Cricetulus griseus: one gene and its partner. The protein of the gene in region 1 interacts with the protein of each later gene in a biochemical or structural test. Links are inferred from orthologs where the notes say so. Each region holds a gene or a part of one and is shown on either strand. Other genes may lie near its edges. The genes, in order: Atp7b and Atox1.

Region 1 (16,471 bases):
ATAAAAATTTTGGTTTTCAACCTCCCCCTGGCTTTCTATTTGCTACCGTCCCTCCTGGGACCGCTTATAGGATTATTGCTGCTGATTTCTTTTGGTGCATGGGCCTTCCAAAGAATAACTCACTTTATAAAAGGTCAGATAGATTCACTTCTCCCTAAAGATTTTGTCTCCGTACAGTATCACCAGATCCAGAACCCAGGCGACGAGCAGCGTGACGAGCAGAGCGAACCAGGCAACCCCTTGGGCCATCAAGAGAGGCTTAAATTTTCTAAACTGTTAAAGGTCTAGTCACAGGCTTTAGAGCCATACTTGCCATCCCTAGGCATGCAACACTGGTAGCCCCGGGTACAAATGGCCGCCTCCACGACGGGCAACTTCCTTCCCTCCTAGACTAACCTAAGACATGGGACCCCTGGATGTCGGATTTTTATCATCCAAAGACGGGTAAAGTCAATGAGGTGGCAAGGTCGAACTAACGGTCATGAACAAAGACCCCCTAAGAATGCTACCTGTGGCCTAGTCTCACCTCCCTCCTTTGTTAAGGAAAAAATAAGGGGGAGATGTTAAGGGCCATGGGCCCTAATTTATGGGGTTTGAAGCCCATCTTTGTAAGTCCTTTTATGACCTTTAAGTTTGCGGCTTAAGACCAGCTCTGTGAGCCTCATATAACCTGTAATTAGACGGTTTGGCCAAACGGAACTGCTAACTGCTTCTGTTTCGAGAAAGGGCCTGGGGCTTTCGCTGTTCCTGGGAAGACGAAAAGATGTTCCGGCTGATAAGAAGAATTCTCTGGCCCCAGCATACACCAGATGTTCCTTCCTGTTATTCCCCACTTACCCAACTTCCTTGGTGCAGGGCTATATAAGCTCACACTGAGCCCAATAAATCAAGACCTTGACAATTGCACAGATGGACTCTGGTCCCCTCTTTTGCGCCACTTGGTCTCCTTCCCTTCTCTCGCCCATGACTCTTTCAGGCAGCCCCCCTTCGGAACCCTGAATGACTAGACTCGAGGGACGGGTCAGCAGCCTATATAAAGGACATGGAAAAAGAAAGTCCTTGCTCTTTGTCCACTTGCCCTCACTCTCAATGGCAAGTTTGTTCCTTTACTAGTATTAGGGCGTGTTTCTTTAGGATTCTGATGTATACTGTAGACCTAAAATATCCAGCCTTGAGGACAAAACAACTATTGGGTTCTTGACCTCTCCACTGGGGGGCAGCCAGTGTTGGAGTAATAGGACCACAGTCTGTAACCCACTCTAATAAATCCTCCTTATGGGGGGAGGGGGGCTGTTCTATCAGTTGTTTCTCTAGAGAACGCTGACTAATACAGGAGATAAAAGTGTATGTCTTGTGAACATGGTGCATGCATGTGAGAGGAGGACATGGGATGTTTTCCACTGTCATGCTCCATCTTCTCCTTTAAGACAGGCCCTCTCACTGCAATGGAAGCTAGCCATTTTAGCTGGGCTGGCTGGTCAGCCCATTCCTATCAGCCTGTCTCTGCCCCTACCTTCCACAATGCTGGGTTAACCTGCAACCACTGCCATGCCCAGCTTCCTGCATGGGTGCTAATAACTAGGTCCTTCCACTTGCACAAAGGTTCTCTCCCCATCGAGCCATCTCCTCAGTCCCAATATTCTTATTCTTAGGTCGGGTGAGGTACAGAGACATAACCTAAAGTATTACATTTTATAACTGGATATAGATGTTCATATGTATTTCTTTCATATCCAATAACTGACAAAATGAGAAAATGCAAAGGGATCAAAGAATGGAAACAAGGAAACGCAGCAGACTCTTTCTATGGAGGGACATAGCTATACAAATAAAATAGCTAGGGGAAGGCATAAGGTAACGGAGAGACTTCTGAACGAAAGCACAATAGATGGCTTCATGGGCAGAGTGAGGCGGAGGCTAGGAGAGGATAATCGGTCCTCTAGATTCCAGACAGGTAGACAGGAGGGTCAAAGGTCGAGCATGACCTTTGAAAAGAAGGCTGAACTGCCCTCTGATTCCAAGTCAGGAGAAAAAGCAGTTTGTACAGCATGGTGACATGAAGGGGGATAAGGCAGAAGGACTGTAAGTTTAAGGCCAGCCTACAGGACCTGGCCTGGTCTCAAAGAACAAAAAAAAAAAAAAAAAAAGGAAAGGGGGTGGGGTGAGTTGTAGATCCAAATAAAAATTGGTGGGGGGCAGGGCATGTAGAGCCAGGAGGAAAAGCTGGAGAAAGCACCCCCAGTGGTTTCCTTAAAGTAAGAAGGGAAGTCACTTGTTGAGAATGAGAGACAAGACTGAGCCAAGGGTCCCTCCTACAAAAGGTGACGGTCTTTATGGTCATAACCAGATAGATAAAGGGCAAGTCAAAGGCACATTGAGATAAGAAACAAACTGCTAGCAGAGCCAGCTACACAGTTGCCTGACTTTTTGGCACCAGCATAACTTACATTCTGAAAGGGCAGATTTCACAATTTCTGATCACTATTTAGCTAGGGGTTTAGCTCTGTGTACAAGCACAAAGCCCTGGGTTCCATCTTGCCCCGATGGTCTTTATGTCAACTCAACACAGGCTAGAGTCATTCTGGAAGAGGAAAACTCAATTATGGCAAGCCTGTGGGGCATTTTCTTAATTAATGATTGATGTGGTTAGACCCATCCCATAGGGAGTGGTGCCACCCCTGGGTGCGTGGCCATGGATGATATAAGAAAGCAAGCCACGATGAATGAGCCAGTAAGCAGCACCCTCCATGGCCTCTGCATCAGCTCCTGCCTCTGGATTCCTGCCCTGTTTGAGTTCCTGTCCTGACTTCCCTCAGTGTTCCACAGTAATGTGGGACTGTAAGCTGAATAAACCCTTCCTCCCCAAGTTGCTTTTGGTCACAGTGTTTATCACTACACTAGACATACCCCTAGCCACACAAAGAAAAATAAGGCTATTCCACTCTGCTCTGCTGCATCCACCTTTGAACTGCTATTTTCTTCTGTAACTTAGTTTAACAAACAAAAGAGTTAGGGTGCAGCTAATGTGTATAAGGCCTCCATCCCCAACATCACGACAAATAAATAAACATTAACAGGCACTATCAGATTTTCACCTGGTAACATTTTTTTTTCTCATTTATATCGGAACAATAGCGAGTCACTTGACCAAGGATACGTCCTTGATATTGGTGCTGTGGTTATCAGTGAGCAGCGACCATGTCACCACCATGGTCACCCTCTGAAATGACTGTCAGTAAAGCATTTAAAATCCAGCTACGGGGCTGTAGAGTTGGCTCAGTAGTTAAATGCTCTAGCTACTCTTCCAGAGGACCCGGATTTGATACCCAGTATCCACATGGCAGCTCACAACTGTCTGTAACTCTAGTTACAGGAGATCTACCTCTCTTCGGGACACCAGGCACTAACATGGTACACAGATATATATGTAGGCAAAAAACACTCATCCATCTAAAAATAAATAAAAGAAATCTGTAAAAAAAATGAATGAATGAATGAATGAATGAATGAAACTAAAACTATAAAGAAAACAATAAACACAAAATAAAAAGCCAGTCTTGGTAGTGTACACCTATAATACAAGTAAATCACCAGGTAATTACTACCCCACAGAGAGGCCCCTGAAGAAAACACAATGGGTGAAATAATGCTATAATTCATTCATTCTTGAACAACTAAAGCACACCTTTACAAACTATGGAAAAGAAGGAAACCCACAATGGTGACTCGTGCCTATAATTCCAGCAATGGGTAGGAGGGTGTCGTAAGTTTTAGACCAGCCTGAGCTACACAGTAAGTAGTTGGCCAGCCAGCACTACATACCAAGATCCCCATCTCAGGAATAGAACTATATTATTAAATATTCTCACTCCCTTCAATACCACCTGTAGAGTTTTGTTTGGTTTTGACGTTTTGTTGTTGTTGTTTGGTTTTTGGATTTTTTTGTTTTGGGTTTTTTGTTGTTGTTTTGTTTTGTTTTGTTTTTTTGAGACAGGGTTTCTATGTTTATCTGTCCTAGAACTAACTCTGTAGACCAGGCTGGCCTCAAACTCACAAAGATCTGCCGGCCTCTGCCTCCCGAGTGCTGGGATTAAAGGCGTGCACCACCATGCCCGGCTAATTGTATGCCACCCATACACTTAAGAGCTAACTACCACCTATATTGCTATTAGGACTTCCCTGGTCTCTGGAGTAGCAGCTGAACAACCTACTCTGCACTGGGAAAGCATACTGTGAAGGATATGCTTTTGAAATGTTGTTAAGTCTGATCCCAGGAGTTGCGAAATTAAGCCAAACCATTAGTTCAGTAACACCAGATGCTATGACCAAGTACTATGAAGTCCCAATGACAGTGTGTTTTGGAGAAAGCTGGTAAGACTGACCTAGGACCAAATACTAAATTTGCTCTTATTAGCAAGCTTCCTTGATCAAGTTCTTTAACTGCTGCCTCAGTTTCCCCACCAACAAGACCTGGATGCCTTTTGCAGTTCTAGCAGTGCATTTAAGTTAGCACAGATCCCATGGGCAAAGGCTGGTCACTAATTCTAGTAAGTGTTGTTGTGCATGGGCACCTGAACATCCATCTGAGTGACCAGCTATAAGTCAGGGTCTTGAACAACTTTGGGATAGATAGTTCACTACAACAGTTCACAGGACATACATAACAAAGGGCGAAGCACAAGAACAGCCCAGTGGAAGAGATATATAGAGCAAGGGGTTCAATGCCTTCTGCAGACAGGCCACCCACACACCCAGAATCTTCACAAGGTTTACTTCCTGAAAGCTCCCCAAACTCATCATTTAGGAGTTTCATGGAGATTCCATTTCATAGACAGGGTTAATAAAATCATTAGTCATTTGTGACTAGTCTTCAGTCTCTCACCTCATGGGAGGGGTGAGAGAAAGGGTTCTAACACCCAAACCACATGGCTGGTTTCTCTGGGGACCAGACCCAATTCTCAAGCCACCTAAAAGCACATCAAGGTCTGCCTCCTAACAGACCTCAGTAACTTTGAAAGGCTCTCCTTGTGAACAATAAAACATGCTCCTATTACTCTCCCTGAAGAAATCCCAAGGGTTTGGCTCTGGTCAGGAACCCAGAACAAAGATCAAATATTCATTTCCTATTATCACACGTGTGCCTAAGAACTTGGACACTTTCTGCCTTCGGCCCAGAACACTGGCCTGAAACCTGAATCACTTGGATCTGTATTCCAGTGGAACTTCTGGAAGTCTTATCTGATCACCTACCAAAACAGTCTTCTTTGTCCTTATGCTTCCCCATCCAGTGTCCAGGCAGGGAAGCTGACAAGGACCTAATGCCAGGCAGTTCATTGTCAGCATATTTAAAACACATTTGGGAAAAAATTTCCAAGCAACAATCATTTCAATCCAAGTACACAACAGAGCTTAAGATGTGACTATATAGAAATACCTTTGCAAGATACATGTGACCATGAGGGTGGGTTCTATAGCTAAACAGCCAGGAGTCTAGTGTGGTCTCTTGACTGGGATAGCATAGAGGTCAGCAGGCCATAAAACACATGTGACATTCCCCCCTCAAGGTGGGTTCCACTGAGATCTAAAGACCTCAAGATCTCAAGATCTTTAGATCTAAAAGATCTAGAGATCTAAAGATCTAAAGAGTCTAGGATAATCGTTCTGAGAAATTTGGGAGAGGTCTACCTCCACAAATAGCAAAAAGTAAAAAGGTCACCAGATCATTAGCAATATCCATTCTCAGCTTTTCTGGATGAGATATATATATATATATATATATATATATATATATTCCACACACACATATATACATTTTTCAGATATTATATTTTAATCTTTCCCCCTGAGGAGACACCCCTGCTTCATTAACATTCCTGGTTTTCTTAGTGCTTCTCTGCAAGTCCAAGGACCTTTGAGCCCCTCAACACCTACCCTGCTGTTTACAATCACCTTCCCTACTCCATTCTATGAGAATGCAATTTCCCTAAAGAAAAGGTCTTAAGTCATAGCTTGATCCTCAGACCTCAGCATTTCTTACACAGTACTCAAAAAGGCAATTGCTGGACAGCAGAAAAATGGTACTAGAATGATAACAGCAAATGCCAGGGTTGGAGCTGGGGATGTAGTCACTGGTGGAATGCTAGGGCCCCTAAGTAGGTCTTTAGCATAAAATTAAAACAAAGCCTATATCAAAGCATCAAGAGCAAAAGACCTACATAAAATGGATTTGATTTTCTAAACCGCAAAAAAAAAAAAAAAAAAAAAAAAAAAAAAAAAAAAAACCAGAAAAAAAGACAGAAAGGGGAATGGGTTGTGAGAATTTAATAAGAGAGTGAACACAGAGAAATTAAAATACACCATGTAGCACATAGTCAGCTGTGACTTTGGCTAACGACATTATCAGTGTAATTCACAAGAGGGTGAGGTCAACATGGGCCAGAGCAGTTAACCAACCGCTCCAAGGAGAGGCACAGGTCTTGAATCTCATCTGGTTAGATAAAGACTTTGCTCTCTCATGGGGACAGGGCAAAAGATAGGACATGTCTCCTCCTCTGCTCTGGCCACCCCTACCCAGTATGTGCTGTCTTCATGCCATGGATCAAATGCTGTTTTCACACCCTAAGAATTACCTACTCACCAGCCTCTCTCTCTCTCTACCCACCCGTTAACCAACTCTCCTTTTTATTTCTACACACCAGAATCTAAATGAATTTCACTAACAAGAGACATTCAATAAAACTGCTGGATAAATTAACTTCACAGACCTGTACAAAAGGACCAAGCTGCTACATACATACATACATACATACATCAAGTATATAGGACCAGCTGAATGGCTCTGTGGGTGAAGTCACTGGTCACCAAGCCTGATCACCTTCCCCCCACCATACATACATAAAATAAATAATGTTTTTTTTTAATTCAAGTACAAATAAGGCAAGATGGCTCACTGTCTTTAAGCCTGATGACCTGAGTTCAGTTCACATGGTGGAAAAAGAACTCCAGTAAGTTGCCCCTGACCTCCATAATAAACACACACACACACACACACTTAAACGATTCAAGTGCAAAGATCATGTCAACTTAAAAGGGGAAAGAAAGAAAGAAAGCAACCAGCAGGACCACCCACAAGGGAATCACCAATGGACTATGGGGACACCTATGTCACTTTGTGAAATAATCTCCAAAATATACTTACCTGAAAAAGTCGGAGAATATAAAACGTGCTTCCAATTAGGCAAGGCAAAATATTCTAAAGCAACAAACAAACACGCAAACCTTCAAGAATTGTTCACATGCCTGAGACCTACAAGTGTCAGTAATATTTGCGGACAGGAGACATACGTGAAAAAAAGAACTGGAAAACAGATCTGCTTTTCTTGTTAAATATATCTGTACTGTTTGCATTTTTAAGAGATTGAATTAATTAGCTGCTTGTATTACTCAAATGAACGCCTGTAAACTACAGAACTTGGGTGCAGACCTTATGAGAAACCAGGCGACGAGTAATCCACCCCCAGATAACTAGTTCTGGGCAACTAGCGCTTTTACACAGCAACCCCACGCTCAACTCCCAGAAAAGTGCCGGTCTCGAAAAGGTTGAACGCCAGAGGACCAGAGGCACACACAATCTAGACGGCTTTCCTCCCAGACCACCCCCAGAGCCGGGCTCTGTGGGGAACGTGTCCTCAGGCACGAGTCCCGGAGGAACCGAGGAGGAAAGCGCTTCGGGCAGGTGCGCACACCGCGCGGATCTGGGGAAGGAAACTTACTTTCTGACTGGCCTCTTTAGCCGCGACCTGCCTCTCCTGCTCAGGCACAGTCCCCACAAACGCCAACTTCTTCCTGGGATCCATCCCGGAGCCCAAAGGTCACCCGGTCAGGGGAGGGAAGAGCGACTCTACAAGCCAGGGAGAGGAGGCGCGAAGATGCGCATCTGCGAGCGGTTCCTGGGGACCACACGGCTCTGACAAGCGAGCCCCGGCTCTGCGGACCCGGTGCAGCAAGGTCCGCGGTGCGCTGGGGAGGAGATGCAGCCCGGGGCCACAGCCGCAGAACGCCGGCTCCCGCGCAGCCCCCTCTCCACCCCGCGTCCCGCTACTGCGGCCGCCGGGGACCCGCCGCCACCTCCGCAAGAGTGGACTCTGTACAGGGCGATCAGCTCGCCGCCCGCCCGAACCTCCCATTGGGTCCCAACTGGCTGCCAGTTCCGCGGTGGGGGCGGGGCGGCACGCCCGAAAGGGGGCTTCCAGACTGGAAGGTTGCGGGGGGAGGGGGGTCGAGGTCAGGGGAACCCACTTATCCATCACAGGCCACGCCCCCGGCTCCCCCACGCCCATTACCACTGTGGTGCGGCCCAAGTGGGCGGGCCCATGTGGGAAGCGGCTATTTGGCAGCCCGTAGGAAGGCGTGTTGGCAGGAGGGGCGTGGCTATATCGCACGCTTCCGCTGGAGCCAATAGAGAAGAAGAACAGCCAAGCGCTTCCGGGCTGCAAGGTTGTGGGTGGGCAAGATGGCGGCGGACACCGGGAGCTGGCGCCTTTACACGCTGCTGAGGTGAGGAGCTTGGTGGCCTGCACTCACGGGGTGTCCCCTCCTTGGTGGACGTACTTGGGGAAGCCCAGCTAGACTGTGCCGGAGAGCTGTCTTCGTCGTGCCTCAGTTTACCCCGGATGTTACGCCTGCCTCGCTACTGGCCGAGCAGCTGGTTCCTTAACCCGTCGTTGCCGCTTCTCTCTCTGCTTCATAAACCGCTTGGTTAATTCTCTGCTGCTTGACCATCTGTTGACTTACTCTTTCCCGTTTGATGTTTAAATTATGAATACAATTTTAAAGATAAAATATCGTTTTCTGTGTAAAAATTAGGGAATAGAAATAATAAATAGGAATGCTAACCACCCGGGGATTAGCACTGTTGTTATAGGTGCGTATTTCAAAAGATGTTCCTAACTTATCATGGCCTACTGAAGTTCCGTCAACACCTTTGTACTTTGTCAGGTTGAAATTTTAGAGCTAGCAGCTGCCTCGATGGTGGCGCACGCCTTTAATCCCAGCACTCAGGAGGCAGAGGCAGGCGGATCTCTGTGAGTTTGAGATCAGCCTGGTCTACAAAGCTACACAGAACCCCTGTAACAAAAACAAAACAAAAGGCTAATTTGCTCTAGCACATTATTGTTTCCCCTGCTGTATGGGTTGCCTCCAGCTGTGTACTGTGTACATTATAGTGGTTAACTTTCTGCATTATAACGGTGATTTGATGAGTAATCCATAACTTTAGATTGTAGTTACCTGTCTTTAAAGCCTTTTAATTTAAATATGGGTAAATATTGGCTAGGAACTAAATGTTTACCTGGCATGTATGAGGCAATGAATTCAGTCACCACTGGAGGGGGAGGAAAGAGTATTAAAAATAATTGGATATTTTTTTATTACACCAGAATATTAAAATCTTTTATTACTTCAAACTAAAGAGTCTGTCATTGTCCCCAACAGTTGAAGCTTTTTTATTGATCCATTTTTTAAAATGTATTTATTCAAGTTAGGGATCAAGCTTGTTTCACATGTAAGTCCCTTGTCCCTCTCCCTCCCCTCACCCCCATCCCTCCTCTCCCATCCCCAACCTACCCCCAACCCCATCCAATAATTGGATATTTTGTTGTCAGACTTATAAGCTACAGAAATTCTCTCTGATACTAAGATATTAAGCAAATATGTAATTTGTAGCCTTATTTTTAAATTGACAGCAGGTTGATTTTTCACCTTTTATTTATTTCAGATTTTTTTATTCACTATTCTTTCCTGGACTGATTATATGTGGAGTTCTGTGTGTATGTTTGGTCATTGTCCTTTGGATAGTCAGGAGACATCTACAGAGAAAGAAAAAGTCAGTCTCAACCAGCAAAAATGGAAAAGAACAAATGGTGGTTGCATTTTTCCATCCTTACTGCAATGCTGGCGGTGGAGGAGAAAGAGTTCTCTGGTGCGCTTTGAAAGCCCTGCAGAAAAAGTAGGTATGCATCTTTCTTAGCTAACACACTGCACTGCTGGTCTCCTAAGAGCATAGTGAATTTTAGTTTTGGCACAGTGTTACACAGCTGTCATCCCACCTTCTCTAGAGGCTAAAGCGGGAGGATTATTTGAGCCCTGAAGTTGTAAGCCAGCCTGGGCAACATAAGGAGAAACACCTCTCAAAAGGAAAAAAAGGCTAGCTTTTAAAACATGCTCTTATTTCTCAGATAAGCTACATGAGACTGGAGAGATAGCTTAGCGGTTAAGAGCACTGACTGCTCTTCTAGAGGACCCATGTTCAAATCCCAGCACCCACAAGGCAGTTTTAAACTGTCTATAACTCTGGTTCTAGGGGATCTGACACCTTTGTACCAACACACATAAAGATTTTTATTTTTTTTAAAAACTACATGAATAAAACCTATATGAGACTAGACCCTTCAACATCCCATCCTAGATGGAGAGGGACTCCTAAGGGCCCACCCATTCATGAGAAGCTAAAGGCAGTTAATGTTTGCTGGAGGTGAGGGACTTACAGTCCTCTGTGCTGTAGGACTAGTAAGTTGCCCTTGTTAAAGAAAAAAAAAGTGAGTCTCCACTTGTGCTCACACTGGCAACCCTAGTTAAATACCCACACACCAGAAAACACATGAAGGTAGAAAAAAAAAAAGATTTGTTAGGACAGGGAAGGTGATAAGATATGGGGGCAAGGGGTACGATCTTTGTGTGTCTGTGTGTGGTAACAGTGTAGAAAATTATTTATTTCTACTTGGTTTTATCAAGACAGGGACTCATTATATAGCTCTGGCTATCCTGGAATGTAGACCAGGCTGACCTCAAACCCACAGAGATCTGCCTGCCTTTGCCTCTAAAGGAAAGATTAAAGGCGTGCACCAATATGTACAGCTGAAAATAATTTTGTAAAAGTACGCAAAAACATAAAAATCTCTGGGGTTTGTATGAAACCTATCTAGGTGAGAACATATTCCCAGATCCCCTTAGAAAAACAACCCCAAATTGTCTTAAATGCAAGTAACTTTTTCCTTAGTTGGCATGCTTTTAACTGAGAAAAATTTGCAATCTTTACAAGAAATGAAATAAGCATATAGTTTGGGCAAGCATTTGTGTATGCTTTTGTGCTCATGCATGTAGAGGCCCAGAGCTGATGCTGTGTGTCGTACTCAGTTGCTCTCTGCTTTTTATTGAAGCATGATCTGTATCTGAACCTGGACCTCAGAAATCCTGCAAATCGCCCAGAGAATCCCATGTCTCTGCCTTCCAGAGTGCTGGGGTTACACACGGCTGCCACTATTTTTTTTTTTTTTTTTCATTTTGGTTTTTCAAGACAGGGTTTCTCTGTAGCCTTGGAGCCTGTCCTGGAAACTTGCTCTGTAGACCAGGTTGGCCTCGAACTTACAGAGATCCATCTGCCTCTGCCTCCCGAGTACTGGGATTAAAGGTGGGCGCTGCCACCACCTGACCCAATGGCTGCCACTTTTATGTGGCTTCAGGGGTTGTAAACACTGGTCCTCACACTTGTGTGGATACACTGTATAAAATACACTATTGTGAGCTGGGTGTTGGTGGCGCACGCCTTTAATCCCAGCACTCGGGAGGCAGAAACAGGAGGATCTCTGTGAGTTCGAGGCCAGCCTGGTCTCCAGAGCGAGTGCCAGGATAGGCTCCAAAGCTACACAAAAAGAAACCCTGTCTCGGAAAAAAAAAAAACAAACAAACAAACACACTATTGTGTAATTTAATAAATATTAATGTAGTTTAGTATAATCAGGATATAATTATGTGTGTGTATATATATGTGTGTGTGTATATATGTGTGTGTATATATATGTATGTTACTTATAATGTGTTTAAGAGAATTTGCTACATTAGAATTAGTTAAGTACTGAGGAAGTCTGACTGAAAATTGGGGTACCAAAAAAGGGAACAATATGTTTATAACTACTTTAAAATAATTTTTTATTTTATGCTTATTATTACTTGCATGTATAAAGTGCTCGATATGCATGCACTGCCCACAGAGGTCATTGGATCCTTATGAGCTGCCATGTGGGTACTGGGAACCGCACCCAGGTCATCTATAAGAGCAGCGAATACTCTTGACCACAAGACATGTTTCCAGAGCCAGGAATTAATTTCTAAAGGAGGTATTACAAATAAGGGGGAAAATACTAAGTAATGCTTTAGAATTATGATTCTGTCAAGGCTGGAAGGGTGGCTTAGCAGTTTGGAGTGCTTGCTGCTCTAGCCCTAAGGGATCTAACACATTCTATCAGCACTCCTCCCCCACTACACACACACTTTAGCTTTTTTATTTTCTGTGGTTCTAAAGGTTGAACTCAGGACCTTGTATATGATGAGCAAGTGCTCTCTAGCTAAACTACTTAAAATAAATTTTTTAATATTTCCTAAAAGTGAAAACCTCATTCATATGTCAGAAGTTACTGTTGGAATTTGCTCCATTTAAAACCCATAGTAGAAGAAATGGCAAATAATTAGATGACATGATATCTTAGTCTCATCAAATGACTGTAGCATAATACCTTAGACTGGATGGTTTATAAACAAGAGAAATTTATTGTTCGTAATTCCAGAGGTTGGGAAATCCACAATCCAGAGCCAAAGGATGTGACTCACTTCATATGTAGCCACTGCTTGCTGCATCTTGATGTTGTGATGGAGTGAACAGACTCCTTTAGTCCTCTTATAAGGTACCACAAAGGGTCTGAGTGTAGCTCAGGGGTGAAGTGAACATTACACCTATACAAGGTTCAGTCTTCAGCAGCAAAAAATAAATTTAAAAAGATACAATTCCTATTAATCCCATTTTGAGTCCCTTTCTTTTTGTGCCACTCAACTAGAGACTAGATTTCAACTGCAGAATTTGCAGGTGACAATCAAACTACAGCACATGGTCATTTCAAAAATTAAGAGTAAAAATCTCAAGGAAGGGTAGAGTCAGTAGTATAAATGCAGTAAATGAAAAAGGGTAGAAAATGTTTTCAGTATAAAAATAAGCTTGCTTGTGACTATGAGGAAATTGTAATGTTTGGCTTAGGTTTAACCTAAATTACATTTTGTTTCAGGTATCCTGAAGCCGTTTATGTTGTATATACTGGTGACATTAATGTCAGTGGTCAACAGATACTAGAAGGTGCTGTCAGAAGATTTAACATCAAGTTAACTCACCCAGTGCAGTTTGTTTTCTTAAGGAAACGCCACCTTGTGGAGGATTCTCGGTATCCCCACTTCACATTGCTAGGCCAAAGCCTCGGATCTGTTCTTCTTGGCTGGGAAGCTCTGACACAGCGTGTTCCTGATGTTTACATCGATTCAATGGGATATGCATTCACACTGCCTCTGTTTAAATACATAGGGGGCTGCCGAGTTGGGAGCTATGTCCACTACCCCACTATCAGCACTGACATGCTCTCTGTAGTGAAGAATCAAAACACTGGATTTAATAATGCAGCTTTCATTAGCAGAAATGCTCTTCTCAGCAAAGCAAAGCTCATCTATTACTATTTGTTTGCTTTTGTTTATGGTCTTGTTGGTTCTTGCAGTGATGTAGTCATGGTGAATTCTTCTTGGACACTAAACCATATTCTCTCACTGTGGAAAGTTGGCCATTGCACTAACATTGTTTATCCACCTTGTGATGTGCAGACATTTCTGGACATCCCCTTACGTGAGAAAAAGGTGACCCCAGGACATTTGCTGGTTTCCATTGGCCAGTTCAGGCCTGAAAAGAATCATGCTTTACAGATCAAAGCCTTTGCTAAGATGTTAAATGAGAAAGCAGCTGAGTCACACCCTTCACTTAAACTTGTCCTTATTGGAGGGTGTCGAAACAAAGATGATGAGCTTCGAGTAAGCCAGCTGAGAAAACTATCTGAGAATTTGGGAGTCCAAGAAAATGTGGAATTTAAAATAAACATTTCATTTGATGAATTGAAGAATTACCTATCTGAAGCAACAATTGGGCTGCATACCATGTGGAATGAGCATTTTGGGATTGGTGAGTTTTTCTTTCCAACAAGTTTGTGTGATGCTGCAAGATACTCATTAAGGTCCTTGTCTTAGTTACTTTTCTATTGCTGTGACAAACACCATGACCAAGGCAACTTATAAAAGAAACATTGAGCGCTCATGGTTTCAGGGATAGAATCCATATTAGTAGCACAAAGGCATGGGGGCAGAAAACAGCTGAAAGCTCACATCTTAATCCACAGCATGGAGTCAGAGAGAGGCAGAGAATGGTGCCAAGTCTTTTGAAATGTCAGGGCCTGCCCCTCTGATGGCCACAGCTCCTAGTCCTGCCCCTCTGACACACCTCCTCCTCCAAGACCACAGCTCCTAGTCCTGCTCCTCTGACACACCTCCTCCAAGACCACAGCTCGTAAGTCCTTCCCAAACAATTCCACCCACTAGGAACCACATATTCAAATACATGAGCTTTTGGAGAACATTCTTCAACCACCACAGTTCCTGTGGTTGTTCTAGAAACCCCTACTAAGGCTGTAAGTCACTCTAATAAATCCTTGAATTCATATACTTAGTCTTTCAGTTCTGTTCCCTTAGAGACCCCTGACTAACACAGAGTGACACAGGCAGCTGCAGATGTGTCGAAGATCACTGGGGAAAGTGAGAGCAAGAGGAGCCTCAGTAAAGAGCTGAGCAAGCACAGGTGAGCAGATAGAAGGAGGCTGCAGAAATTGTCACAGACTATAGTTTGCAAAGATGGAACTGGGGCTTAGTGACAAAAAGGAAAGGAGCTGGGCCCCAGGCTGCACACTGAGGAAAGAAAGAGGCCATCAGTGTCCTAGGGAAAGATCAGTTGGTAAGAGAACAAGAAGCATAGGTGAACTGTGGTAGATGGAGCGCTGAGTTACAAGAGAGCACATGGAGTCTGTGAATACAGACAGCATCGTTGCTAGGTCTCTTTATGAAAGGAAGTGAAAGAGTACAACTAGGGAAGGCTGGATAGAGTAATTTATACCTTCACATACGTCATGTGGCAGGCAATAACCAAAACTTACCCAACTCCACCTTGCTGTTGAACACAGGCAGCTGTGTGTTTTGTGAGCAGCAGCACACTTTAGTTCTCAAAGATTGTTTACACTTTACTTTTGGTGTTTTCTATCTTTTTGATACATGTTGATCCTGTATCATCTTGGCAATATTGCATAGTTTTCTACTTTATGCAGTATGTTCTTTACCCACTCCATTGAGACAGGGTCTCACATAGCCCAACCTGGCATGGAACTTGTTGTGTAACTAGGGATGACCTTGAACTAATAAACATACCCTAATATCTTCACCTGACTCCATATTGGTAATTCGCTCATTAGACCTCAATCTACTTGTCTGTTTTAATCAAGAATAAAGCAGCATTATCATGACACTTTGAAGATTAAAAGGCTTAAAGGCATGGTTGCTGAGGAGGTAACTCACTGAGTATACTGCTCACTGTGCAAGCAATAGTACCTAGGTTAAGTCCCCAGCACCCATGTAAAAGGCATGTTTGACAGCATACCTGTGAACCTACCACTGGTGATAGTGGTGGAGAGTCTAATGCAGTGGTTCTCAGTCTTCCTAATACTGTGACCCTTTAATACAGTTCCTCATGTTCTGTTGACCCCCAATCATATCATTATTTTCATTGTTACATCATAACTGTAATTTTGCTAGTATTATTAACAGTAAATATCTGTGTTTTCCAGTGGTCTTAAGTGACCCTTGTGAAATGGTTGTTTGACCCCCACCCCCCAAAAGGGGTTCAATCTACAGGTTGAGAACCACTGGTCTAGTGGATCTTTAGCTCATTGGCCAGACAATCTTGACAAAACAGTGACCTCTAAAATCATTGAGTGTGTGGACAATCAGTGGAGAACAATAGAGCAACCAAAGTCAACCTCTGGCTTGCATGGGTACCTTCACAGGCAAGCACACACAAAAAACCTTATAATTGTTTTATTTTATATCATGTTAAATAAGCAAATTTCTAGACTCACAAATATTTAATCAAATGTTTCTGGGTCTCAGGGTTTTATTAAGGTTTGTGTTCATCAAAAACTTAAAGGCTTGTGTATTTTTTTGTTGTTGTCTTTCTCAGGAATTGTCGAGTGTATGGCAGCTGGCACAATTATCCTTGCTCACAATTCAGGAGGCCCAAAGCTTGACATTGTCATTCCTCATGAAGGACAAATAACTGGATTTCTGGCGGAGAGTGAAGAAGGCTATGCTGAAACCATAGCTCATATTCTCTCTCTATCTGCAGAAAAGAGGCTTCAAATCAGAAGGACTGCTCGAGCGTCTGTGAGCAGGTTTTCTGACCAGGAGTTTGAAGTGTCATTCCTGTCTTCTGTGGGGAAGTTACTTACGTAATGCCAAATTTGTAACATTCTAGATAATTTCTACAAAATGGAGCTGAGGGTGTGGAACA
Region 2 (15,692 bases), on another chromosome or scaffold:
AAAGGACTTGAGTTCAATCCCCAGTACCCACATCAGGTGGCTCACAACTGCCTGTAACTCCAACTCCAGGGGATCCAATGCCTCTGGCTTCTAAGGTGACCTGCACTCAAGGCACATATCCACAGACAAACAGACCGAAACACATATACACCCACTTAAAAAAATAAATCTTAAAAAACAGCAACTGGGGATATGTTGAGACCATCTGCACAGCAACATCATGTCTCAAAAAAAAAAAAAAAAATCCAAACCAAACGAAAGGTAGCAAGGTGGACGATCACTGGCTAGACACTCTAGCTGGAGTTGTCAAGCTCCAGGTTCAGTAGAGACCCTGTCTCAAATGACAATTGAGGAAGACACAAGATATTAAACTTGGGTTCCGTTTTGAGGTGAGCTGGTCCAGGCTGCCTAGTTCATTGGAAACACACCAGGCTTGAGATAGGGGTGCATCTTAGGGCTAGGGACTCCTTGGAGGGATCTTTGCCTCTTCTGTTCTAGTTGGGATCAGTGCTTCCTTAATTTTGTCCTTCAGGATGACCAAATCCAAGGCATACTGCCATCTAGTGGTTAAAAAACACCTACAGGAGGCTTGGGAAGAAGAGGCCCTTGGGCCCTAAGGGACCACAAAGGCCTGACACTTGGTAGGCAGCCTTAAACTCTGTATCTGAGGCCTGCCCTGCACTCAGATCCTTTGTCTTCACTGTGGGAGTGCTGTATCATGGTTGTGTTTCAGCACATTAGGCTAGTGCCTCTGCTAAGGAGTGAAAGGATGTCTTGGTTCTGGCTACCAAGCTCCCTAGAGTGAAAGCATTGTGATTGTCCAGATGAAAAAACTTTCCACAGGAGAGATTAACTGACTAGTCCAAGGTCATGGCTGGCTAAGGACTGAGCTAATCTTGTTCCAGGTCCAGCAGAATTGAGTGCCCAGTAAATGCCAGGGTATTCACATTTAGCTTCCTTTACCCACCTTAGGGATCTCACAACTGCCTTTATCTCCAAGAGATCTAATGTCCTCTTCTGGTGTCCTCAGGTACCTACACACACTCAAAGATACATACATACTCATAAATAAATCTTAAGGTTTGGGCATGGTGGTACATGTCATTAATCCAAGCACTTGGGAGGCAGAGGTGCTTCTGAGTTCCAGGCCACAGTGATGCCCTGTCTTATAAAAGCAAGTGAAACAAACATGTTACAAACCTGCCTATGCACAATGGTCACTTGAAGAAAGCCACTTGGTTTTCTTCTGGCTTAAGTTACTGGAATTCTGGTCAGTGTAGCTTGGCAAAAAGATGCCACGTCTTTTGTGAGGTGTGGTTTCCTTTTTCCAGCTCCCCCACCCAGGTCTAGGTCATGAGGCAATGACTTTGTTCAGATCAATTCTCCCCATGTTCTGAAATTTGTCTAGAATATTCAAGGACATATCAGACACCAAGTGTGTCCTGCATGGTCTTGGGGTCCATCTTGGCATCTCTCTGGTTCCCTGCCTCACAGCAGGGAACAGTAATACCTCCCTGTTTTTCTTAAAGCTACACAAACCAGAACAGTCCTTTGCTTCACCAAGCAGCTCTGTAAAGGCACTGCCCTTTAAGGGGTTGCCATGCCTCCATCCATGAAATACATAAAAGTAAGTAGTGGATGCTTGCCGGAGGATTTCTCTACTCCAAATAGTTCACACTAATTTGTTCATTTTGTCACAACCATCACAATCATTTGCCAAAAGTGTGGTTTTCTCTCAGGCTTTGAGTGCTGAGAGGTTAAGTAGACCAGCTAGGAGTTACTAGAGCTGAACCCTGCTGGGGCAGCCTTTTTTCAGCAGCTTCCCATCTAACTGTTTCAGAGTTTCATTTCTTAAATGCAAGTCACTTAATAGCTTTTCAAATATGGAGTCTATGTAGTGAGAAGAAAGAAAATCATTGATCTGGTCTAATGATATTCCCATTACAGAAAGGCCCAAAGAGGGCAGTGGGCTGCTCAAGATCACACAGCAGAGAGTGGACAAGAGATGGGCACCTGACTGCCAGTGGGAGGTTCTAGAAACATAGGCAAACACAACAGCAGCTTGTAGGTGAGCCAGCAGTACCAAGAACACGCAATAGACACTTCTTCAACAAATGCAGCTTGACTTTATTGCAAGGAAGCTGGCAGGGAGCCCGCAAGGGAGAGTCTGTCTGGGCATGGCTGAGCTGGACAGAAGTTGGTGTTCCAAATCTGCCAGGAGACCAGATCAACAGCCTAGGAGAGAGGGAAAATTAGATCAATGGCACCACCTACTGTGAATAGGAAACATAGCACCTCAATCTCAGGATTCCTCTCTGTACTGCCCATGGTGATCAGTGTATGCCCAGGTGAAACTTTGTAGGCTACAAAGTAACTAGATCTGCTAACTCTGGGTCTGGGTGAGGAGCAGGAGCTGACCCCTATATATAGTGCTTAAACATGTTTGACACCTCCCACCATAAAAAGTCAGAACTGAGCTTGATGGCAGATTTCTGTAATACCAACACTGGGGAGGTAGAAGCTCAAGGCTAGCCTGAGCTACATGAAACCTTAAAACAAGAACGATAGCACAACAAAAATAAGCATAATGATGGTGATACATGCCTGTAATTCCAGCCTGGGGAGGTGAAGACAGGATGGTCAGAAATTCAAGATCATTTTCAGTAAATCTTTGGTTCAGGGATAGCCTAGGCTACTCTATTTCAAATAAGCAGGCAAACAAATACACTGTAGGATTCCTTTTGTAGAAAGTCTCCAGGCTAGCCCAGAGTGGCAAGCAGCAGACTGGCATCAGAGGAAGCAGTGAGGGTGATGGACAACCACTGCTTGACAGACATGAGGTGTTTTCCTCAGATAATGAAAATGTTCTGAAGGAGGTACCACAGTGTGACTGCTCCGCTGTGAATGCACACAGTGTTAATGAATGGCACCCACAATCACAGCTAACTATATCATGTCAACTCCATTTTCACCTTGATAACAAAAGCCACAAAGTGAAGCTGGAAGTGTCACACTGCTGTCAGCAGGGGCTACTGTATGTGCAAGAGTTTCTGTGTCTAGACTATGTGTCCAAACTGCAGGCTGACACGACCACTCTTCCTTCCAGTCCTTCCCCACAGAGATCATGCTTATCAAATAGAATCTTTGTTTTTTTTTTTTTTTTCAAAATTAAACAGAACATTTTCATTAGTGTGGTGTGTGTGGGTGTTGTGTGGGTGTAGAGGTCAGAGGACGAGTTTGCTCTCGCCTTCCACCTTTACGTGGGTTCTAGAGATCAAACTCTGGTCACCAGGTTTGCACACAGGTGTCTTTACCTGATGGGCCATCTTCTTGGCCCTCAAATACAATCTTATATGGAGAAGCTGGGTATGGGGGCTCACGCCAGGAATCACAGCATTTGAGGGGCCAGGGCAGAATTGTTGCAAATTCCAGATGGCCTGTGCTACACAATGAGGCCCTGCTTCAAAAAATGATTTTTCAAAAATAAAACAAACTAAACCCAAACAAAGAAAAACTATACATGGAGGTCCGACACACAATAGGGTTGTTTGAAAGAGACAGAAGTCAGTGGTCCACCCTCACCTGGTCCACAAAACCCAGGGATGCAGGGACCATGCTGGATGTGCAGGTCTGAAGCATGGAAGAAACTGCTGGTGTCATCATCCCAGAGAAGACAAACCTTAAAGAGGCTGCACTGGGACCCAAAAAGGCAGTGGGACAGAGTGGAGGGGTTCACTCACTTCACAGATCAAGTCTCAGGCAAATAAAAAATGCCTGGACTGAGAATAGAGTTGGCACCTGAACCCTAGACTGCTTGCTGTTCACATTGGTTGTTCCTGGGTCATGAAGCAAATCCAGGAACTAAAGAGGCATGGGGAACAATGGCTCCTGTCTGTCTGTCTAAGCTTAGTGTATCTGCGCACATGCGTTGAATGTGTGGCAATCAGAAGACAACCTGAGAGATTCAGTTCTCTCTACCATGTGGGTCCTGGAGATGGAATTCAGGCTGTCAGGCTTGGCAGCAGGTACCTTCACCTGCTAAACCCTCTTTCTGGCATTATTATTATTATTATTATTATTATTTAATTTTTTTTTTTTTTTTTAGACAGGGTGTCTCTGTGTAACCCACATTAGCCTTGGCTTCTTGTTCCTCCTCTCCTGCTTTAGCCTCCTGTTAACTTGCTCATCCATGTCTTTTGATTTGCTGGATGTCACCATGTAACACAGAACACATGGCTTGGGTTTCAAATGCTCACATTTGAGGAAGAGGGAGGCAATACTCAAAGGGGACCCTCCTACCCCCAGGTGATTACAGCTGGCCCCTGCCAAGGGCTCTCATGAGTCACTTGTAGGGTCAGTGATATTCTATCCATCACTTGAGAATGCTCACACAGGAGGCCTAGCTCATACCAGCCTCTGCCTGGGCTCTGGTCAGGTCATGTCCCTTCACCAGGTCTCATTTTTCTCAGTTCCAGAGAGGATACAAACCACCAAAGAGGTGGCCATCATAATTCATGGGTCAGATGCAATGCAGAGGGAAGGAGGACTGCTGGGTACAGTGGGAAGGACTGTTGGGTGGCCAGGTGAGGTCTGTCATGCTTCTTGAGGGAAGGGCACTGGCACAGGGCCATTTCCTGCCTCCCTGGGACCCGTAAAGCGGAAGGAAGTCAGCTTAGATGGGTCACTGACTCTGCACTAGGCTGGGCTAGAGGGGCAGCCAGCTCCAAGCCGAAGGAAAGGGCAGGGTAAGCATGAACTTTTTTTTTTTTTTTTTGGTTTTTGAGACAGGATTTCTGTGTAGCTTTGGAAGCTGTCCTGGAACTAGCTCTTTAGACCAGGCTGGCCTTGAACTCACAGAGATCTGCCTGCCTCTACCTCCCAAGTGCTGGGTTTAAAGGTTTGCTCCATCAATACCCCACCTGAGTATGAACTCTTGTACAGGAGTACAAGACTCAGAACACAGGCATCAACTGTGAAGGGGAAGTCACTTCACCAAAGCAAGAGGCTCACCATTCCAAGAAGGTCAGATACTCTAAACTTAGACCCTGCTGACCAGGCAAGGTGCCCCTCAAGTCCCAAAAGGGACCCTGGGGATATAACATGGGAGCTCTGTCTATTCACTGGTGGCCACCAAGACGCCTGAGCTTCTGGTTTGTACTGGACAATAATGATGTACTTGTGACCCTTCCATAGGGGGGTAGTGGGCTGAACACCTCGAATCCAGAAACCCAAATTTCAGTGTGTTCCAAAATGAGAACTTCCTGAGTGACAACTGGATGGCAAAAATATTTAGAGTTTTCCTATTATGGATGCCCTATGGGTGAGTTTAGGTGAAGATTCCAAACCCAGAGAAATTGCAATCTGAAATGCTTCTGGGCCCAAGCATTTCAGATGAGGGATTTGCAACCCACGGAACCCCTGGAGAAGCAACAGGCTTGTGCAAGAAAGGCTGGAGCCTCACCCACCTACCCCTTCAGCACATCCAGAGGGACTCACCAGGTCCTGGCTACTTGGGGCCAAGGTAGGAGACGGTTTTCCCTGTTTTGTTGAGGGTTGCCAGCAGGGTGTCCGGGTTGTGCTCAGACTCAATGCAGACCTTCTTGTTGGGCAAGTCAATGTTGAACTGCACTCCTACAGGAAGAAGGAAACTGGGATGTGGGAGGGGGAAGCAGGACCCTTCCACTCACTGGAAGAAAGAGGTCATCCTCCTTAATTATCCCTGTAACACCAGGCCCTTCTGGAGCCAGGCAGCAGCAAGCTCTTTCTGTTTCAGGCACTGTGAGCATGGCAGGCAGGCAGGCAGGCAGGCAGGCTCTGCTACAGGCTCTTCTCTGTGTGTAAGGGATTGAACTCAAGACCCCAAGCATCAAGCAAGCACTCCACTACTAAGCTATTTCTCAGCCCTGAGTTCTTTTCTCTTTTCTCCCTTTCCTTCCCTCCTCCCATCCAGCTCTCCCACCCCAAAACCTGCCATCGCTACCTCACTTTCCTGTGCTCAAGCTATCCTTCCAATTCAGAAATACAGAGCCCACCTCCCTCCCTTTCTTTATAATTTTATTTGAAATGATTTTTTAACTATGTATATGTGTATGGCTCTCTGTGTGGGCATGTTCAAGAGTGCTGGTGCCCTAAAGGGCAGAGGTTATGGGATCTGGAGTTGTGAGTGGTTGTGAGCCATGAGATGTAGGTGCTAGGTCCTCTGCAAGAGAAGAACATGCTCTTAACCATGGAGCCATTTCTCCAGCCCCAGATTTACATATGTGTGTGTGTGTGTGTGTGTGTGTGTGTGTGTGTGTGTGTGTGTGTGTTTTCCTTGCATGTGTATCTGTGTACCACATATGTGTGGTACTCATGGAGGTCAGAAGAGAGCATTGGATCCCTTGGATCCCCTGGAACTAGAGTTACAGATGGTTGTGAGCCTCCATATGGTGCTGAGAATTGAACCAGGATCTTTTGCAAGGGCAACAAGTGCTCAACTCTTTCTCCAGCCCCTTTCTTTCAAATTCTTGTTACATTTATTTTAGTGAGAGCATGTGTGAATCTGTTAGCAAGTATGTGAAAGAATCTGTATATGAGCATGTGTGAGCATGTGAGAGGGTGAGTGTGTGTGAGTGTGAGCATAAATGAGAGCATGTGTTGAGTGTATGCATGTGTGTGAGTGTGAGAAAAAAAAAAGAAAACAAAACAAAAACGCATGTGTTAAGGTCAGAGGACAACTTGGAGACAGCACTCTCCTTCCATATGGGTCCTGGGAGTTAAAACAAGTTTGGCAGCAAACACCCTTACCCACTGAGTCATCAAGTGCTTGTACACCCTGCCCCCTCTCCCTTCGGGTCTCACATGTGTATCCTACCACTGAAGACCCGTCCTCCCCTACAACCGTTTCCCCCCTGTTTTTGTACTACTGGTACCCAGGGAATCAAACATGCCAAGCAAACACTCTGAGTTTCAGCCCCAGGCCTTTTTTATACTTTTTATTTTAAGGCAGTCTAAGTTACCCAGCGTAGCCTTGAACTTGATCTACACATCAGGGAGGCCCGAGCTTATGATTTTCCTGTCTCGGTTTCCTGTGATGACAGGCCCGGTTTTGTCCCTTGTTTTTTAACAGCTCCCCAGTCTTCCCAGTGTGTGGGTCTCTGCATCTGCTCATGGACTTAATCTTTCCAAGGACAGGGGATCAGTTCTGCCTGCCCAATGCTGTTACCATTCTATAGTCAGTGCACCCAAGCCTGCCTGGACACACCTATGAAACAGTTTGAAGCCTACTCTGGGGTATTCATAGTGAGTTCTAGGCTAGCCAGGACTACAATGGGAGACCCTGTCTTAAAAACAAAAACAAAACATAAAAGGAGATATTCTAGCTTACAAAGCTCAGACGACTCACTGTGTCACTGACTCACTCTCAATGTGGGACTTGGGCAAGGCCCTTCCCCTTGGGCACTGATGTCATCAACCCCTCTCCACCTCGTAAAGTCCCACTCTGTGGACTGACGATATGTGGGCAGTCTCAACATGCAGTGGTATTGTTACCTAGGTTTTATTTATGATCTGTAGAGATAGGGTACCACTCTGTAGTCCAGGCAATGCCTAGTTTGTCTCCCAATTGCTGGGATTACAGATGTGAGCTGCCACACCCAACTTTGCTTTGCTTTTATAAACTTGTTAGTATTATTATTTTGTTTGGTTTGGTTTTTCGAGACAGGGTTTCTCTGTATTGTTTTGGAGCCTGTCCTAGAACTCACTCTGTAGACCAGGCTGGCCTCAAACTCAGAGATCTGCCTGCCTCTGCCTCCTGAGTGCTGGGATTAAAGGCATGTACCACCAATGCAATGCCTGGCTTAAACTTATTATTTTTATTTTATTGTAGTACTGTGGATTAGATCTAGAATGTCACACTTGCTATGCAAGCACTTGACTTCTGAGCTATACCCCCTCCCTCCTGTGGTCATTTTTACTTTGAGATAAGTTCTCCCTAAATTGTTCAGGCTGGCCTTAAACTTTTGATCCTCCTGGACTTCTGGTTTACTGGAAAGCATCTCCCTGCCTGGCTGTTGTTAATCCAAATATCACACTAGAGATCACCAACGTACTAACCACCACCTCAAGGACTCTGGAGCTGGATGCTGTAAAGCCAGATCCCAGTTCTGCCCTGCTGGCTCTGTGAATCCAGTCAAGTCATTGAACTCTCTGAATAGTTCCTGCCTTCATAAAAGGAAGACAGCCACTGCTCATTGGTGGTATGTGCCTGCATCTCAAGCAGAGGTTGGATGGTGGAGTTCATGACCAGCCTGGGCTCTACAGAGACCCTGAAGAGGGAGGGGAGAGGGAGGAGCGGAGATGGAGGGGGAGGAGTGAAAAAATGAACAAAATGGAGTTGTAAACATATGGTGGCACAGTGGCACATGTCTGTAATTCCAGCATTTAGAAGGCAGAGGCAGGTTATCACAAATTTAGAAGCAGCCTAATCTATATGGTGTGTATTCCAGGACAGCCAGGCCTACTTAGCAAGGCTTTGTCTTAAAAAATAAAGAAAGAAAGAAAGAATAAACTAGGAGGGGAGGAGTGTAGTGAACGAAAGAAACTTGAAGTGGCTGCAGTGAGGTACAAGACATCTCCACATAAGCCACTGAGCAGAGGCCAACGTGAGCACTAGGCCCTCCACACACTTCAGTACCAGCTGACCAGCAGTCAATCCTTGTAGGCCTCATGTATCTGAACATAACTCCCATGTAACCATCTCCCCATCCTCTCTCCAACGGACAGATGCTCACCTCCCAGCTTGTTGAGGACTCGGGAGACGGCTTCAGCACATCCTTCACAGCTCATATCCACGGAAAACTCGTGCTTCTGCAAGAAAGGGAGATTATGAGCCAGGCGCTGCAGTGACCCATACATTGTCTGAGGGCTAGTCAGGGGCTGGCAGGGAGCAGAGAATGGGCACAGTCTCACTGGAAGTCTGTCTGTGATCCCAGTCTAGTCAACAGATAAGAGGGGGGGATGCAGGGTTTCTGTATGTCACAGGCTGTACCAACAGAGACAATCTCTACGATACCTTTTGCAAGGTCTGGTATAGGATGAACAGATCCAGGTCTGTGGGAGAAGCTCTTTTCCCATCCTCCCACAATGTTACTGCTTCATGAGTGAGCTGTGGGCTTCGCCTCAGGACCAGGGGACTCAGCCACAGGTTACCCCACTCCCAGCAGAACTAATCTGGGACCTGTTTCCATATCAGAACATTATTTTCTACATTGGAGTCACCAGGGACTCTACACAGGCTGTAGGTCTGCTCAGCAGCCTGGATGGGGACATCGATTATGCCAGCAGGCAGGTTACTCAGGTATGTGGCCACCACTGCTCTGATTCAAGTACCTCATGCTCAAAGGTAGCAGAAGGATTTCCCAGGGTCCCCAGCACACTGGAGGCAGACATAAGGGAATCCCAGGTTCCTGAGGTCCTGGATCACCATGATATCTAACAAGTCAAGGCAGGCAAGGGTACACAAGACTATGCTTCTGTTCAAGTACAAATATTCACTGTTGCACCCCAAATACTGGGAACAGCACCAGGCACAGGGGAGTGAGTGGATGACCAACATGATCACCGGACAACTTCTGGGCCTTTGGTTTTTTCAGAGAAGAACTGTGCCAATAATCCCTTCCTTCACAATAACTGGAAATGACAACATCTGGGCTCCAACACTTGCAAGTTGTATGACCTCAGTAGCTTAACTCATGAGGTACCAGTCCCTTCTCCATGCTGGAGAATGGGACAAACACAGGGTTTGACATGGCAGCCAGCTCCACCGTGACCTCCACTCCATCTTCTCTGCCTCCTTGTATTTATGCCCTTGAGAGTTCATTCTATAACATCGAAGTGTAAGCCTGTGTGTATTCAACATAAGGCTGGAGTACCGTTATGTGACTAAGCTGGTCACAATATCAGCTTCTGCCCTGCTCCCTTCTTGGGCCACTCTGGAACAAGCTAGCTGCCATACTAAAGACACTTTACTATTCAACCCTTGGTCCATCTGGTGAGGAACAAAGTCTCCAAGGTCAAAGTCAAGGAGTACAACAGCCTGGGCAAGCTTCTGGACTACACTGTTGTTCCCTGAGACCCTAAGCCAAGCCTAGTCACTCTGCTTAGCCACTCCCAGGTCCTGACTCTAGGTTTGGGGATAAGTATTAAAGGACAATGGATAACTAAAGGACAATAGATAGTCAATAAGATCATGGGACTAGGTGCCTCTAGGTGAAAGTAATTACTTTCTTCCATTTCTCTCTTCCTTTTGAAAAACAATGTAATTTTTTCCTCAGGCCATGGGAATGTAATTCAGTGGTATATTGCTTGCCTGGCATGTGCAAGGCCCTGGGATTTACTTCCCAGTACTGAGACAGCCAAGCATAAGGAATGGCTTGGACTATACACACCTGTCTCTTGACCATGAACCTAGCAACCTGTTAGCAACCCAAGACTGACCCCCACACTTGCTTTAAGCATTGGAAATAAGTTACTCCCCTCAGCAATCCCCAATTTTCCCATTTCCATTCAAACATCCTAAACCACCATCCGGAATCTACTAGCAAGGGACTGATCAGGCTTAGACTGTTTTGGAGTGCATGGAAAATGAAGCAAGTTGTCCTCAAAGTGAAATTTTAGAGAGAATTCCTTATTTGCCACCTATGCCTATGCATAATTGGGTATGCATATGATTAAAATCACTTGCACTAGCTGGGTGGTGGTGGAACACACCTTTAATTCATTTTAATTCTTTGAATGAGATGCTAAAAAATATAAACACCCAGCCCAGACCCCAACCACCAGTAATAGCACTGCAAACAATAACAAAACAACGACTATCTCTCCCTTCTTTTGGTGGTGTTTTGTTTTGTTTTTTTGGTAGGTGCTGCTTTGAGAACAAGATCTCATTAATGTAGACCAGGCTAGCCTGGAACTCACTATGCAGTCCACCCTGGGCCTTAAACGATTTTCCTGCCTCAGAATCCCAAGTACTGTATAAACAAGTGCCCAACAACATACTCAAATTCAGTGCCCACCTTTCTCCATGAAGCTCATCAAAATTGCTCTAAGACAGGCTGAGCATCCCTTACCTGAGTGCTTGGGAGCAGAAATGTCCCTAATTAGAGGATATTTGCATACACATAATGAGATATCTTGGGAATGGGAAGAGTCTAAACACAAATCATATTTATACATACAGACTGAAGGTAATTTCATGCAATGTTTTTAATGCACCATGTTTGGGCACACACCACTTGTGGCATCAGGTTCTGGCTGGTCTGAAACTCCCTATATGTAGACCAGGCTGGCCACAAACTTACACAGATCTGCCAGCCTCTGCCTCTTGAGTGATGGGATTAAAGTCATGCACCGCTGTATCCAGCATACTTCTTAAAAAAAAAAAAAAAATTTACTCATTCTTTTTATGTGTATATGTGTGTACCTTCATGAGTTTGTGCACACCAGGACTTCCCTGAACTCAGATATGTAGCATCCCCTGGAACTGGATTAGAGGTAGCTGTGAGCTGCTCTGTGGTGACAGGAATTGGACTTGGCTCCTCTGCAAGAGCAGCTAGCACTATTACCTTCTGAAGGATTGTAGCTCAGTGGTATAAAGCTTGCCTGCCATGACCTAAGGCCCTAGGCTCAATCTCCAGCACTACCAAATAAACTAGGCTACACTTGCTACAAGCACATGATATTGAAAATTACATTTGGGGGCTGGAGAGATGGCTCAGCAGTTAAGAACACATACTGCTTTTCCAAAGGACCTAAGTTTGAATCCCAGCATCTACATTATCAGGTTCACAACAGCCTGTAACTCTTAACTCCAGGGGATCTGATGCTTTTTTCTGGACTCCACAGGCACCTACACTTATGTACACATACCCACACAGACAAACACATATACATATAATTAAAAAAAAAAAAGCAGGAACTAGGCAGTGCATGCCTTTAGTCCTAGCACTCGGGAGGCAGAGACAGTTAGATCTTTGTGAGTTCGAGGCCAGCCTGGTCTACTGAGCGAGCTCCATAACAGTCTCCAAAGCTACAGAAAAACCCTGCCCGGAAAAACCTAAACAAGCAAGCAAATAAAAGCCAGGTGCATGCCTTCAATCCCAGTACTCAGGAGGCAGAGGCAGGCGGACCTCTGAGTTCGAGGCCAGAGGTCTACAGAGTGAGTTCCAGGACAACCAGGGCTACACAGAGAAACCCTGTCTCAATCTCCCCACCCCCCCAATAACAAAACAACTAATTTTTAAATAAATAATAAAAAATATTTCATTTCAAATAATAAATAGGGCTAGAGAGACAGCTCAGTAGTTAAGACTACTTGTACTTTCCCAGAAGTTCTGAGTTTGGTTCCCTGAACTACAACCACCTGTATCTCCAACTCCAGGGAATCTGAAGCTCTTCTATCTCTGCACATAAATGGTGCGCATGCACTCTCGCTCACACAAATAAACCTAAAAGATAATAAGTATACTATACTTATCCACTTATTTGCATGTGTGAGTGTGTGCCATTGAGTAAGTGTGGATGTCAGAGGCTATCAGGCTTGCTACAAATATCCTTATCAGCTGACCCATCCTACCACCCTCAAACTCCTTTCTGCAGTATTTTCCTAGCTTGAAAACAGAACTATTCATTTCCTCTTGCTGGGAGGTCACTAAGGTGATGAGGCCATGGGTGCAAAGGCAGGAGCCCTAGAGAGGCTTTCTTTGCTCCAGGGAAATCTTGTTGGTTTTATAACAGCCCATCCTCCACAAACTGACTCTGAGAAGAATCTCTGAAGGGGGTTTCAGAAGATAAGTAATTGCTGCTCAGGGATCTAAAGTCAACAGTTATCTGAGCTCCAAACTGAAGACCCTAACAAGGAAGTCTTTCACAGTACAGAGGTGGGGGGGTGGGCAGCTCACAGGAGGCCAACACTCCACTCCAACTCAGAACTCCCTACACCTCTGCCTACAAACTCTGCAGTTTACACCTGAGGATGACAGAAAGTTCTGCCTAATGGATAGGGTGATCCAGTCTTCACAGGACTATCTCAAGACCTGCTCCATCCCTGGATGTCTCCCCAGTGCCTCTTACAAAAGGGTCATGGAAGAATGGCAGAGCATACACAGGCCCCAAATTAACACTTGGGAGGCCTACGTAGGAGGATTGCTACAAGGATCAGTTGGGCTACATATTCACTTATAGGCCAACCTGAGTTACAGTGTGAGATGCTGTAACAGAAAACAAGCAAAATGGATCCTCTGACGTATATATTAATGTTCTACGGCAACACGCTGTATTATGTATTATGTATTATTACATACAGTATTACTTCAGAGAGCCGGTAAGTGGTACAATTCTTTAACAGACCCTCTAGAACTGGAACAGTGGGAATGGAAGAGGAGAAGTTCTTCTAGAGAACATTGTGTCTTTGGACACTGGTGTCTGGATTCCTGATTACTAATATCTAATTATCTCTGATGTGCCAGGCCTTCTTCTAAACACCTTGTACACTGTCTTGTTTGATAGCTACAATGCTTCCATAAGCCAGGAAACTCTTCCTATTCCCAAGAGATGAGAAAGCTGAAGCTTGGAGGTTGGGTACTGACTCAGGGAGATGCAGCTCATGAGTAACAGGGCCTGGGTTGGACAGAGTACACAAAACTCTAACTTTTAACCACTGAGGTCCACGTTAAAATGGGGTGGAAGCCTGTCCTACATCTACACAGGAGGTACACCACTCCTTGGGGACCGGATGGGTCACTAGTTGTGTTAGATATTTTGATGACATCATTCTAGTTAATACCAAACACAGCCCTGCAAGGTCAGTTTCCAATCCCTATTTTATGGATGAGGAGATGGAAGGCACACACAGAGAGACAGAACATCTTGCCTGAAGTTGCCCAGCTGGCAAGCCATAGGGCATAGACTGGGTTAAGCTTTGGCATGCAAACCACCTTTGGTAAAACTCATTCCCCTGGCTAGACTGGAGGCGGCACTTGAAAGATACCTTTAGTTGTTGGTCTTGAGCTAAGGTGTCTACTATATGCCTCACTCCAATGAAAGTCCCCAGAGGCAGACACAGAATAGAGGGGTCTGCAAGTTATTTTCTTCACTGCTCTCCCCAGGAGAGCCTGGCAGCCTTGACTCTGGGATCCCAGGGTTATGAATGAGCCTCACACTGCAGGACAGACTGGCTTGACTGGTAGGATGGACTTTATCAAGTCTTTTGTTTGTGCTTTGTGCGATCTGAGGAAAAGTCTCTCAAGACAAAGGGTAAGAACCACAAGTGCCACCTGAGATGTTTAAGTCTGCATCAGGTGGGAGCCTCTGGTTCACTCACAGACGATAAGCCCGCTAAAATATGCCCACTGGGTTCAGAGGCACCAGGAGAAAAATGCTCCCGACTCCAAGGCCCTAACCATTATCTCAGGAACTCAACACAGATCAGAGCTCAAAGGCAAGCAGTACAACTGGTTTTGCCCAGCACTTCCCAGGTGATCTGGCTTCATCCTGGATCCTATCTACCTAGCGCCCAACTAGCGCCCAATAAATACTCTCCAACAAACACTGGGCTTTTTCTTATCTTGTGTAATGTTCCAAAGGCCTTTATTAATAAGCAATGAGGCTATGAGGCTAGAAACCACCATGCACAGGAGTGGGTGATTTCAAAGGCAAGGTAAGCGCTGCTCTTGGCTCTGGAAACTCTGCTCCGAGCTTTGGGAACTCCTGGCTGGAAAGGAGGAAAGTATCCTTTCGGTTCAGGGTTGCCCAGGGCTGAAGTGGAAGCAGGCCAGTGTGGGCAGGGGAGGTGGAGAGACCTACTTCTTTGAAAACCTACTAGCTCGGCGGCAGGGGCATGCACCTGGAAAGGGCAGGTACCGGCGTCCCGATGCGGGTTCTCTGCCCTACCTCCCGGTTTCAGTTTCTCCATCGTGCAGGGAAGATTGGGGCTGCTCCTTGACTCTCTAGAGCGATCTTGAGGCCTATATTCTGCAATACAGTTCTCTCTACAGGTTTCCCGAGGGTCGCGAAGCTGGAGGGCGAGTGCGGAGGGAGAGTAAACTAAAGCATGACTGCAGCTCCGGCCATGGCACGCGCCCTAATAGCAGCGTCTGGTCGGGCAGCGGTGCATCGGGCCGGAGAAAACGGTTCGCACGGGTGGAGCGGCAAGGCCACTTACCGGCATGACTGACGCGGCACAGGCTGGGAAGGCGGCGGCAGCGACTACGACTGGAACGCCTCTCCCGGGGCAGCAATGCGGCGCTTCCGGAGAGCGTTCCTGGAAGCCCCACTTTCAAGCCGACCCAGCCTACTGTTAGGCCCCGCCCTAGGACTGGGCTCCGCCTACTCCCCGCCCCTTCCGGGTTCAGCTATGGCAAGGCTCCGCCCCTGAGGGAGGCTCTGCTTAGTTCCCGTCCCTTTCGGCTGAATTACAGCCTGGCCCCGCCCCCTGGGCTGGCCTCCACTTAGTTCCCGCCTCTTTCTAGTCTCAATATATTATTAGGCCCCGCCTCTTTGAAGCTTAGTCACTGGCCCTCCGGAGGGGCCGGAGGGACTGGACTGTTTTGAGACTTGCCCGAAGTTGTCACATGAGATCTTAGGACGTGAAACTGCGCTCTTCACTGGGAATGCAAGATCAAGACTCCTAGAAAGGATGGATCCCGGCATTCCTT

What was found.
Region 2: the proteins of Atp7b (region 1) and Atox1 form a complex in vitro, tested with the Homo sapiens proteins (3 studies listed by BioGRID and IntAct). The link is inferred for Cricetulus griseus from reciprocal best matches to the Homo sapiens genes ATP7B and ATOX1.

Annotation. Positions count from the first base shown.
Region 1 is NW_023276807.1:61,580,567-61,597,037, reverse strand, and holds the start of Atp7b (copper-transporting ATPase 2), read right to left. Parts: upstream 7,857-16,471; coding exon 7,773-7,856; intron 1-7,772. Other genes in the region: Alg11 (GDP-Man:Man(3)GlcNAc(2)-PP-Dol alpha-1,2-mannosyltransferase), read left to right, coding at 8,513-8,556, 9,776-10,006, 13,113-14,044, 16,142-16,413. UniProt on the Homo sapiens protein: Copper ion transmembrane transporter involved in the export of copper out of the cells. It is involved in copper homeostasis in the liver, where it ensures the efflux of copper from hepatocytes into the bile in response to copper overload.
Region 2 is NC_048600.1:69,629,659-69,645,350, forward strand, and holds Atox1 (copper transport protein ATOX1), read right to left. Parts: upstream 15,154-15,692; 5' UTR 14,951-15,153; coding exon 14,882-14,950; intron 8,848-14,881; coding exon 8,772-8,847; intron 5,632-8,771; coding exon 5,507-5,631; 3' UTR 5,497-5,506; intron 2,236-5,496; 3' UTR 2,107-2,235; downstream 1-2,106. UniProt on the Homo sapiens protein: Binds and deliver cytosolic copper to the copper ATPase proteins. May be important in cellular antioxidant defense.